Linked DNA regions of Yarrowia lipolytica. The protein of the gene in region 2 interacts with the protein of the main gene of each other region in a biochemical or structural test. Links are inferred from orthologs where the notes say so. Each region holds a gene or a part of one and is shown on either strand. Other genes may lie near its edges.

Region 1 (5,010 bases), on a different chromosome or scaffold from region 2:
AAGATTGTTGACAAGGGAGGAAAGCCCAACATCGAGGTGGAGTTCAAGGGTGAGACCAAGGTCTTCACCCCCGAGGAGATCTCTTCCATGATCCTCACTAAGATGAAGGAGACCGCTGAGGGCTACCTCGGTGGAAAGGTCACTGATGCCGTCATCACTGTCCCTGCTTACTTCAACGACTCCCAGCGACAGGCTACCAAGGACGCTGGTCTTATTGCCGGTCTCAACGTCCAGCGAATCATCAACGAGCCTACCGCAGCTGCCATTGCCTACGGTCTGGACAAGAAGGAGGCTGGTGAGCGAAACGTTCTCATCTTCGATCTTGGTGGAGGAACTTTCGATGTCTCCCTCCTCTCTATCGAGGATGGTATTTTCGAGGTCAAGGCCACCGCTGGTGACACCCATCTTGGTGGTGAGGATTTTGATAACCGACTCGTCAACCACTTCGTCCAGGAGTTCAAGCGTAAGCACAAGAAGGATATCTCCACCAACCAGCGAGCTCTCCGACGATTGCGAACCGCTTGTGAGCGAGCCAAGCGAACCCTGTCTTCTTCCGCCCAGACCTCCATCGAGATCGACTCTCTCTACGAGGGTATTGACTTCTACACCTCCATCACCCGAGCCCGATTCGAGGAGCTCTGTCAGGATCTCTTCCGAGGTACTCTCGAGCCCGTCGAGAAGGTCCTCCGAGACTCCAAGATCGACAAGTCCGCCGTCAACGAGATCGTTCTTGTCGGTGGTTCCACTCGAATCCCCAAGGTCCAGAAGCTTGTCTCTGACTTCTTCAACGGTAAGGAGCCCAACCGATCCATCAACCCCGATGAGGCTGTTGCCTACGGTGCTGCCGTCCAGGCCGCTATCCTCTCCGGAGATACTTCTTCCTCCACTCAGGATCTTCTCCTTCTCGATGTTGCTCCTCTCTCTCTTGGTATTGAGACTGCCGGTGGTGTTATGACCAAGCTCATCCCCCGAAACTCCACCATCCCCACCAAGAAGTCCGAGACCTTCTCCACTTACGCTGACAACCAGCCCGGTGTCCTGATTCAGGTCTTCGAGGGTGAGCGAGCCCAGACCAAGGATAACAACATCCTTGGTAAGTTCGAGCTGTCCGGCATTCCCCCTGCTCCCCGAGGTGTCCCCCAGATTGAGGTCACCTTCGACGTCGACGCCAACGGTATCCTCAACGTTTCCGCTGTTGAGAAGGGTACCGGTAAGACTCAGCAGATCACTATCACCAACGATAAAGGCCGACTTTCCAAGGAGGATATTGAGCGAATGGTCAACGATGCTGAGAAGTACAAGGAGCAAGATGAGGCCGAGGCTGCTCGAATCGCCGCCAAGAATGGTCTCGAGTCCTACGCCTACTCTCTCAAGAACACCCTCTCCGAAGAGAAGTTCAAGGAGAAGGTTGACGAGGCTGACCGAGAGAAGCTCGAGAAGGCCATCAACGAGACCATTGAGTTCCTTGACTCTACCCAGTCTGGTGCTACTGAGGAGTACTCCGACAAGCAGAAGGAGCTTGAGGGTGTTGCCAACCCTATCCTCATGAAGTTCTACGGAGCCGAGGGTGGTGCTCCCGGCGGAATGCCTGGTGCCGGTGGCCCCGGTGGCTTCCCCGGTGCTGGTGCTGGAGGTGCTCCTCCTCCCGGCGCTGGCGGCGAGGGCCCCACTGTCGAGGAGGTCGACTAAGTATTTTAGTACCTTGTATTTATAGAAAATTGATTATTAGACAGACATTTGAACAGTATGTGCACTTTGTTGTAACAACATTCAGTACCAGGTGACAAGACGACCAGGGAACCCCTTTTTTACCCCAATTACTTGGAACACCAACTTTATACAGCAAAAAAAACACCTTTTCTTCCACTTCCTTCACAATTGCTCTGTAAATATACATTAAATATATGGTGTTTTGACAGTACTGTAACTATCTGTGTACTACAAGTAGCAGTGGCATGTTCCCCATATGCAGAGAGCCCCGAGGAATAGGCTACACGCATATCATGTCCCATGTCCTAAAGAGACAAGTGGAGGCCCAAGTGGAGGCCCATAGAGAGCTTGCGCTTCGCTGTTGGGGCACCATGTCAGACTGTGGGTAGTTGCTTCAGTTGCTTGGCATCTGATCACTGGCTAATTCTGAACAGCAACCTCCATGACCTCGACCTTGCACTTGCCCTTGACCTCAGCCAAAACAAACTCGTTCACGGGTCGGAACTGACCAGGATCAATGGAGCAGACCAGCTCGTCGTGGGTCTCCTCCTCGACTGTGGCTCCCATATCGGTCTTGAGCTTCTCTCCTAGCCCCAGCTTCTTGACATCGCCAGTCACTCGAATTCGCATACGAGCTCGAGCAATGGGAATGATCTGCTTCTCCACCAGCAGCTTGATGGCATCCATGGCCTGGATCTTGGCGGATTTCTTGGGCACAATGTTGAACTTGAGCTCTCCAATCAGAGCCTTCTCAATCATGGTTGCAGTATAAGGTCGCTTGGTCTTGGAGTTGACACATTTTTGCGACACAAGCTGGATGATCTCCGTTTGCAGCTGGTTGCTCTGCTGCTGTCGCTCCTTCTCTCCAAGCTGGAGTTCTCCGGTATTGAGAATCTCCAGAATGATCTTGTCCTGGTCAGTATGTCCAAAGGCGGCCTTCATGTCGTCTCGAGGCGCAGTTTGTCCCTTACCGACATTGACAAAGACTTGAGGGATCTGAAGAACCTCATCAAGGTCGGTTTCCACTCCCTTACGCCAGTCCTGGACCTTGTTTTGGTAACAAGCGATCTCGAATCGCTTTCGGCCCTTCTTGAGTCGCACAAGAGCCACGTTGGTCAGTTTGATCTGTCCGGATGGTTGCTGAATTCCGGCCATTGTGTATTGTGTGTGTTAACGAAAAAGTGTTAGTAAAAGCTTGGTGTTCGTCGGTAATTCCAGGCGGTTCGACCTTATATATATCGAAGCAGAATTTAATTGTTAATCGACAGGACTGCATGTAAGCTGCATAAACCCAGAATATTGACTATCGAGCAAAGATGAATCAAATGGGCGTCAGAGATTGAGTGTCAGTGCTTGTGTCGATATATATGTATACAATATTCTTAGATTGATTTCATACCAATTTCTTTGGCTCAGGTTCTTTCTCATACTAGCCGGTTCTACTCCACAAGTACTGGCACACTGTTTCTGTCCCAGCTTGCCTTTATCAGAGAACACGCTTCGACTGACCGATCGAGAGTCATGCAATGATATTAAATTTTATTCTAGTTCAGTTGTCCTCTGGTGCAATGATCACAAGTGTGGGCTATGGGCGCGGTAGCACCTGTGTTCCTAGGGGGGTGCTGTAGGTGCAGTAGGTGCTGTCGATCACAACTGATGAACGTGCTTACACTGTGTGTACCGGGTCGACTGTCATTTTATCAAGTACAGGACAGTACTTGTAGTTGTACCATAGTCAACCGCAGAAATAACAGCTCAGACTCGTCGTAAAGAGTCTGGTGATAGTCCCACTGCAGGCACACGAATCGACGGGTGTCACAAGGCTCTTTTTCAACCACTCCCACACCTCCACACAATCCAACACCCATAATCAATTACCAAACACGGCAAAGCTTGACTCCCTCAAGAACGTCGTCGTAGTCGTCCTGACTGACTCGGCCGATGGACACAAACACAGTTCGCACCTCTGTGGGCGAGTCCTTGACTACCTGGGACGCCACCTGGACAGCTATGATCTGACCCAATGTGTCAGCATTGGAGCCTCCAATTAGCGACATGGGAGTGAGATGAGTGAGTGGCAGATTGCTGATGTCTTCGCCTTCGTCGTCATATTCGGTATGTGCAAAGAACTGATTGCCTGGAGATAGTCTTAGGGGAACATAGTATGATCTAGTGTATGCTCCTTTGCTGTGGATATTGACGAAGATCTTGTCGTTGAATGCATAGGTGACAATGTCTAGATCTTTGATAGTCGTGTGTTTTGAAGGGATCATTGTATGAATGTTTCTTTTCTGTCAGATTGTGAATGTTACCTACTTGTAGCAAGATGTGTTCGTTGATAATGGACCAGAACTCTATTCACGAACTACAATTACGAGTAATGGCGCGAGGCATCTACCTGCTGTACTACTGTGAAGTAGTTTTGAAGGACCGAAGACCTACAGTTATGTTATTATAATAATAAAAAATAGAGACTATGGAGTAACAGACTATTCATAGTATTGTGCGAATGAGAAACTTCTTCTAACTCTGATCTATGTAATATTTCGAAATATAATCAACCAATCTGCCGAAATAGCCACGGTCAGTCTACAGTAAAATATACGGCATACTCACTCTTGAAGTGCTGCTTAATCAATACCACAAACACCACTATAGACATGTCACCCTGCTCTCCACCCATCACCCACTCCTTCTATGCCTCTGAGTCGGCCTCAGTTCATATCGACTATCGACACAACGCACTCATTTTTTTCATGCAGTAAGCAGGAATGAGGTGTTCTACAGTGGACACAGCAAACAAACTAAATAGCTCCGGAGAAATGATATTCTGACAATTGAAAAACATGACTCAAAAATATTGACGTGTCAAAACAACTACAATGTCTCATTTTTTTCAACGACTCTTATCGCCACCGAAATAATGACCACGAGGTGGGCTCAACGAAACCTTATTTGGCTAACATGGGAACCAAATCGTGTCTTTATTTTGCGTGTTCATGTGCATGAGGTTTGTGAAAGTCTAAGAACCTCAGCACCAACAAACAGCAATGACCTCAAGGTGAGTACCTATTGCGATGAAGGCTCTCTTCCGTGCACAGCAACTAACTCAGACATCAACTCTTTGCCTCCTCGGCACAATACGGATCACCAGCCTCCAGCCAGGCTTCTTCTCGAATCAACACCCCTCAACCTCCACAGCCGTACGCCGGGTCGTCTTCGTCCTTTGGAGAGGCCAAGCCCTACGTTCCCGAGCAGGAGGAGTACGATCCTAAAAGCCACAAGCAGTACTCGACGTCG
Region 2 (7,973 bases):
CCCAAGCCGGACCTGCTGGAGTTTGAAAAGATTGCAAACAGTGAGCCGACATACGACGTCTATGTGGCCAAAGAGCCCATCTCAGTGGGTCCTTTCACGTGCTTCAAGACCACAAAGAGACAACAATACAATGACGCACGAGCAGCGTACATCACCAGGCCCATGGTCGAGGAGGTGCTGTTTGTGAACGACAATGGCCACGTGACAGAGGGATCCATCACCAACATTGCGGTTCAGGTTAATGAAATGTGGACCACTCCGAAGGTGACGTCTGGGTGTCTGATGGGAGTTACTCGACGTCACTTGATCGATTCGAACAAGATTTTCGAGGGCTTCTTGACCCGCGACGATCTACAGGAGGGCCAAGAAGTGCTCATCTTCAATGCTGTTCAGGGTGTCTCCAAGGGTGTCGTCAAGCTCAAGTAGCTTCCACAGTGTCTTCTGTTCACTGTACCGCAGGATATACAACCGGATGCTTTTCTATATCATAATTTATTCCAGAGATCGCAAACAGCCCGTCCATCATCCGCTGACATTTGTTGATAGGCAGATTGACCGATTTTTGAGACAGATCCGGACAATATTCTTCCGTGTACTTCATAGAGGCGAACAGAACCTCTTCAGCATTTCGAAGAGCAGTTCAACTGAATTGATTGTTCAAGCCTTCAACATAGATCATCCTGAATCTCCGATCCATCTCGATTCTCCTCTTAAAAAAAAAGCGCACATGAAGTCTGGCTGTCCAACATGTTGTCAATCGCAACACGAGACCCTGAGTCAAGCCGAAAGGTAGTACGAGTTTCCGGCAGATCTAAACACTCCAGCCACCAGCAGAGCACATGTAAAGAACCAGTATCGGAATTACTCAGCAGTTTGCTTAGATCAGCGGGCTCTACCAAAATGTCGAGCCCTTGACACTCCGGAAGCCCGTCGCATATAACTTGATTCATCAAAATACACGTCATCTGCTACGTATACTGCAACCAGTAGAGAGGCTCCTCATCCTAAGATCCCACGCGGCCCCCTGGTGTCTAAGCACACAACACCTTATGGGTCGATCGCAGATCCTCCAGCATGTCAGAACCCGGATCCGGTTTAGTCAGTAGTTCAGCTCACACCAGCGGGGACCGTTGGTCTGCTATGGAGTACCACCTGTACTCCGGAAGTTGTTGGCAATAAACTTGATACATTAAAATACAACGTAACATCCTACTTATACTGTCCCCATCACAGGGTAATCCTTAGCATCCGGGTAACCCCTCAAGGTCACGTGCGAGGCACGTGACATCCTCCAGACGTCCTAAAGGACGTCTCACTATTTCTCTAATAAGAGATCGATGACTAATCTTAGCACACCTTATGAGTCGATTTGATCTCTTACACAGCACGGTTGCGGCCATATCCTGGTGAAAATACGGCTTCCCGTCCGATCAGCCATAGTCAAGCACCAGAGAGCCCAGTTAGTATTGTAGTGGGAGACCATACGAGAATCCTGGGTGCTGCAATCTTTTTGGAGATTTAAAAAAATAAAAAACGGGTTATTTTTTTAGTAAAGTACTATACAGAGTTGATATGAGTGTTGTTGCAGTTCAGAAAGCGTTCGGGTCGCTAAATTAAGCATTCACTCGCTTAACCTTATTTTTTCTTCTTTTGTAATGTCTGACGAAAATTCTTAGTCCAACTGCAGGCGGAATCTGTGATATTGTGGTGGTGAGAAACTACTGCGAATAATAATAATAAAAATCCTACTTGGGCAATCGGTCGGTGGAAAAATATGGATGTTAATTATTAAAATTTGTCACAAATATGCACGATAACAACCTTAAATATGTCTAAAAAGTTTAAATATTTAAAACGAGTGAAAATTGAGAAAATCGAAGAAATGACCGATTCAGTTTCATGTGCAAAATGAACTAACGACTAATATCGTATCTATACGAGTCAATATTCTACAGTACATAGCGCATGCTAGAATCGATGTCACTGTGTTCAGGTGCAATGTAGAGATGGAGTCTGGGGAAGTATTGACTTGATTAAGACAACACTTGTAAACGTCTTCTGCGCTGTCAATTATACCACCCAGATGCTCATAGTAATGTTCGCTCCTCTCAAACTTCCCGATATCTATACATTATCATATCTATACATTACTTCTTCAGGTTTCGCTGTCGATTGGCTCCATCAACGAGCTTCTTTTCCACGTAGAGACCCTTTCGAGCCCGCACATTGTCCACGTACCGTCGGGCGACATTTTCTCGATCGGCCGTCTCTCCCAGCTCCTCCAGCTCTTCCTCAGTCGTGGGCACCCAGAAGGGATCCATATCGAAAGTTTCGTAGCCTGCGAAAATGAGCTGGGGCTGGGCTGCTCCAGAGGTTCGTTTTCGGATCTCCTCAGCAAAGCCAAATGCTTCAACCACGGGAATGGTGGCAGAAATGGTGAAAAATGGAGTGCCCTCCTTCATCTCCTCACTCACAATCTTACCCTTACGCCGAGTAACCACAGAGTATACCTTACCCAGCACCTCGGTGGACGCCTGGATCTCACACGAGTAGGTGGCCAACATGAGACGGGGCGACCAGTCTAAAAAGGCAGTGTAGATTGCCTTTTGAAAGGGAGATATGAGCTTGCCGGCCAGCTCATCGTTGGGGTCGTCAATGAGATCAAGATAGACTGCCACCCCCTGCATAGGCTCGTTACAGAGAGGTCCAGACTGAGTGGCCAGCTGGAATCCAGTCAGGATGGAATCCTGGTGGAACGAAATGTCGGAGGTTGCTCCAAAGAAACGTCGTAGAAGACCAGATTCGGAATTATCGATCAGAATGTTACTACCCACACGCTTGGGTCCAAAAGCCACAATCTGGTCGACGGTAAAGGTGCATTTCTCCTCTTCGAGAATCTCGGCCAGTTTGGTCTGAAAGTCCTCCTTGTTGAGAATGTTCTGGTTGACTGACGAATCCTCGGTTTCCTCCTCGGCGCTCTTGACACCGGCCAGAGCCGCGACTGAGACTCGGTTGAAAATCAAAAATGTCACCACCGCCTGAGGAAGAGGGGTCACATGCATTTTGAGATCCACATGGCCCTCCTCCTCGAGCTCCAGAGTAACAACTCCTCGTCCAAGTTCAGCGTCTCGCATTGGAGCGGGTTCGCCTCCAGGAGCAACCTGGTGAGCCACAATGGACTCTCGATAGGGAACAATAGGCTCGGAAGCCTGAATCTCAATGCCGGCAAACCGCTCAGTCAGATCCTTGAGACATCGCTCAAGATGTAGCTCTCCAGCACACGAAATCACGTGCTCACCAGTATCCTGAAGATGCACCTGCACACAGGGATCGGACTGGTTGAGCAGCTTGAGACCTTCCTCAAGATGCGACATCTGGGTGGGGTCTTCGGGCTCCAATGCAACTCGCACAATGGGTGTGGTCATGGATCCCTCCACCGCCGCGAGATTGGGGCCTCGGAACTGGTCAGAGACGAGAGTGCCGGATTTCAGAAACTCACCATCAAGACCTCCAATACCCACAATACCTCCAGCAGGGGCATGGTCGATGGTCACGAGCTCTCGGCCCATCAGAAGGTAAAGATCGGTGATCTCCACCTCAAGCACGTGCTTAGAAGGCTCGGCAGGGTTGTACTTGGGTCCCAGAACTGTGGCCTTCTGCCCGGTTCGAATGACACCGGAGTAGACTCGGACGAAACCAATGAGAACTTCGGGAGGAGGAGGAACGTAGTTGGACTCGCCAATATCGAAGTCCTCCTCGTAGTCATAAGAAGAGTATGCTGCAGTGAGATCGTCAACTTCATCTTTGGGAGCAGCTTCAGCGGCAGCCGATGACTCGTCAGTCTGTCCGTTCTCAATTTTCTCTCGTGCCAATCGAGATTGCTCTCGAAGCTGGTCGATGGATTTCATCACCTTTTGGTTCTTGGGCAGATCAGCCTCCGGGATAGAAACCACCTTACTGATGTAGGCCACCAGTGGAGCCTTGGTGGAGCACGTGAGCATGCCCTGAGACACGGTTTCCTCGTTTTCGCCATTGCCTTCTTGATCGGGATAACCAACAGATTTTAGAATTGCCGGCATTCGCTTGCCCTGGGCCACAATTGGATCGGGCAACTTGTCAACCACGGAATGTAGAACGGACACAGAAAGAGGCACCCACTGCTGGAAGATGGTGGTCAGCAGGTTCCGAGCGTCCTTGGAGTTGAGGTCTCGGGGCGAAATCTTGAGCTCCAGGGCCTTGATGATCCTGGCGCTCTTGTCGGCGTCCCGCTCAATCACCGTGCAGTGATACACGGCCCAGATGTTGTCCAGAACTAGCTGCACAAAGAGCGGTTTCAGATTCCGGCCCTTGAGCCCCTTGCTGGTTATGACCGACTTGGTCTTGGGGTCAAAGTAAAAGTCTCCCCACAGACACTTTTGGAGGTTTTCTCGTTTCATTCCGAGTTTGGCAGCGTAGATGGCGACAAACTGGGCGACGGTGAATCCCCAGCCGTCGATGGCTGATGCAAAAATGACATTGTTTTTTTCGGGCGAAAAGTAGAGTTCACTGTCGTCTTCGTCTTCGAAGGTGCCAGTCTTTCCGCTCTCCCGCCATTCGAGGTCGGCAGCCATTCGGTTGGAGGCGTAGAATCCGCCCAGAACAACGTTGACACCCTCAATGAGCTTCTTGAGGTGTGTGAAGGCCTCGGCGGGAGTCAATTGTAGCTCCTCCACCAGTCGGTCAATCTTGTTGATCACCAGAATGGGCTTGAGCTGCTCCATCCACGCCTGTCGCAGAACCGTCACCGTTTGACTGCAGACTCCCTCAACGGCGTCAACCAGCACCACCGCTCCATCGCACAATCGCGACGCCGTGGACACTTCGCTGGAAAAGTCGATATGGCCTGGAGAGTCCACCAGGTTGATGAGAAAGTCCTTGGGCACCATTTTGGGCGGTTCTTCCGTCGAGCTGGGATCTCTTCTGAAGGTTCGGAAGTGAAGCGAGATGGCAGATGACTCCATGGTGATGCCTCTCTCCTGCTCGTCCGGTCGCGAGTCCAGATACCGCAGTTTTCCAGCCATCTTCTGAGAGATGATGCCGTTGGAGGCAAGCAGGCAATCGCTGAGCGAGGTCTTGCCGTGGTCCACGTGGGCCAGAATGCAGATGTTTCGGATCGACGACGGGTCCGATTGCAGCTTGCGAAGTTGTAGGGGCGATAACGTCATGGTAGATGTGGTGATGTTGTTAAGTAAAAGTGGCGTCGAGGAGTGGAGAAAAATATATATGTTAAAACGGTATCTTCAGATCAGAGTTTCTGCATAAGCACTGATGACGTCAGGGTTTGGGCTGGACCGACGGGGAGGTCCAGGATGCGGACACGTGGATTAGGGGGAGATGATATGTGAGAATATTACTCATCAGAGTCTCCTGATTACAATGAATATCTTTTTTTGGTGATATGACCAATATCCATCGAGTTGATGTAGACTGTCAGATAGGTTCTTTAACAGCAAAGTATTGGAAATGAAGCAACTTTGAAAAATAAAAGTAATTTTTAATATATTCTGTTATTATAAAAAAATTTAAAAAAATAGAGAATTTGGAGTCTCGGATATTTGGGGGTCATTGGGGAAATATATATATAATATAATGTTGCAAATAGTTTGTGTCAACTGTAGCGGCGATAACAGGAAATACATCTGTCTTTTCGGATTCTTCACAGCTTTTCTTTTCGGTATCGTGAGATGGAGGAGCTTGAAGTAAGTCCAACTACTATACGTATCGAGCAATGAAATAGTGAAGGGTTTTGTTCAAGGAACAATACTTGTATGTACACTGTTCTGTTCAATACTATTCTGCTCCGTACAGTACCGTACAATACCGTTCTCGTACTCTAACCAACATCTGCCACTCTATACGCGCCTATTTCTGTCTACTGTACTACATGTAGTTCCATGCTCTCACATCATACGATCAATTAATACCCATCTATAGTCTATGTGGCCTTGGTCAGCTCGTCGACAATGTCGGTGGTCACGTCTCGGCCCCACAAAACTCTCTGTCGCTCTCGCTTTTTGACAATGAGGTCGCTGTGGACCACAATCTCCGAGACAAAGTACTGGATACCTCTCAGTAACAAGGCGTTGTCTTTGAGCTTGAGTAGCAGCTTGACGAGCTGTTTCTGGTCCCGTGACTTGCCATTGCCCTCCTCCGCTCGTTTGCCCAGCATGCCAAACAGTGCCACAAAGTACATTTCCAGGAAAATCTTCATGTTTTCCGAGGCGGTCAGAAAGTTGACGTTTTTGAAAATGTTGAGGCCCACGGTGCCCTCGGCGGTCATCTGGGCAAACATTCGCGCCAGATTCATGGTCTTTCGTAGCAGCTCCTTGCTGTCCGAGCCCTCGAGCACCTTGACAGACTCTTCTCGGTCAGAGTCGTCGTCGGAATCGTCGTCGTCGTCGCCGTCCAGCTCGCGGAAAAAGTCCCACAGGGTGAACTGGAAGGTCATTTTGAGCGAATGCCGCTCCGCCAGCTTGACGGCCAAAAGAGCGTAGAACGGGTTGTACACGGACTCGTTCGAACAACAGTGAATGAGCACCCGGGGGATTTCACGCTCCTGAACACGCTTAAGACGCAGCTTGGACACCCTCTCAAGAGCATTGAGGTAGTCCTCGGCGCCCATGATGGCCACAAAAACAGCCCGTCGAATGTCCGTGTTCATACGTTGTTCTCGGGCCAGATCGAGCCAATTGGGCTCTGCGGCGTCGAGAACGTCATGAACGGTGGTCAGATCGAGGTCGTCGTCGCCCCGGTGTGTCTGGGACTCGTTCTGGTCCTGGTTCTTGAATGCAGCACCCACTAACCACCATTTGCCCCGAGTCTCCACGTTCTCGATATCTTCGAGAGACACGGAGATGGGCTCGTTGACAGTGTAAGAGCTGAAGGTGCCAATGAACTTCTTGAGCCGCATCTTGGTCTCGGTGTAGCCCTGGGAAATGCCGTGCTGCGACTGTCGGTTGTTTTTCAGCGCCGCCACAGACTCCACAAGGAACTTGGTTCGAGCATTGGTCTCAGTCTTGGCCAGAGAGGCCTGGAGGTCGTTGATGATGGTCTTGAGGGCGCTGGGGTCGTCGGAACGCAGCTGGGAGCCCGCAAACCGCACAATCTTCAGCAGATACTCGGTGTTTCGCTCGTTTGGGTCGGCCAGAAACTTTCGAATCAGATCGTAGACAAGCCGACACGAAACCATCTGGAAGTAGTAGATTTCGGTGAGGAACGCCAACAGGTTAGAGCAGGCCTTATGGGTGCCGGCAGAGTAGTTGGTGAAGAACTTTTCAACCAGAGACTGCACAAAGTAGGCACCAAACGAGATTCCCACCTGCCGGTACAGAATGGTGGCGATGACTGCGTGCAGCAGAAGAAAAGTCTCCAAAAGCACCGCTTCAGAGGCAGTGCTTTCAAGTAGACATTCGGTGACAACAGTGGTCACCAGCAGACGAGGATTATCGTCAAACACACGCAGAATCTCGTTGATGATGCTGCCAATGTTGCTTTCCGACAGCTTATTGAGCGAGCCCTTGATTTTTCGACGAATCAGAACCATCTCCTTGGTTTCGGGATCAACTTCCAGCGCCAGTTTCTTTCGCAGAGAAGGGGGCACGTATTTGGCCGCCGCTTGACTGGAATCGGCGTTGGCAGCCACAGGAGCAACATAGGGGTTCTCTTTGACCTTGGGCTTCGAATCGTCTTCAGAATCTGTATCAAAGTCATCCGAGTCAACCTCATCTTCGGACCAGGGAAGATCGTTGTTCACCGTCTTGGCTGCCTTTTTCTCCTTTTTCTTCTTCTGCTTCTTGTCGTCAACCAATTCTGGCACATGATCGGACTCTTCTTCACTGTCGAACCCGAAATCAACATCCAGACCGTCCAGAATGCCGTCGAGCTCGTCGTCGGAGCCGAAATTGGCACTCTTGGCGTCCTTGAATCCGAGCTTC

What was found.
Region 1: the proteins of YALI1_D20118g (region 2) and YALI1_F32565g form a complex in vitro, tested with the Saccharomyces cerevisiae proteins (3 studies listed by BioGRID). The link is inferred for Yarrowia lipolytica from reciprocal best matches to the Saccharomyces cerevisiae genes RIA1 and SDO1.

Annotation. Positions count from the first base shown.
Region 1 is NC_090775.1:3,254,437-3,259,446, reverse strand, and holds YALI1_F32565g (uncharacterized protein), read right to left. Parts: upstream 2,866-5,010; coding exon 2,131-2,865; downstream 1-2,130. Other genes in the region: YALI1_F32597g (uncharacterized protein), read left to right, coding at 1-1,689; YALI1_F32554g (uncharacterized protein), read right to left, coding at 3,585-3,983; YALI1_F32546g (uncharacterized protein), read left to right, coding at 4,761-4,771, 4,824-5,010. UniProt on the Saccharomyces cerevisiae protein: Involved in the biogenesis of the 60S ribosomal subunit and translational activation of ribosomes.
Region 2 is NC_090773.1:2,006,646-2,014,618, forward strand, and holds YALI1_D20118g (uncharacterized protein), read right to left. Parts: upstream 5,205-7,973; coding exon 2,148-5,204; downstream 1-2,147. Other genes in the region: YALI1_D20061g (uncharacterized protein), read left to right, coding at 1-426; YALI1_D20164g (uncharacterized protein), read right to left, coding at 5,975-7,973. UniProt on the Saccharomyces cerevisiae protein: GTPase involved in the biogenesis of the 60S ribosomal subunit and translational activation of ribosomes.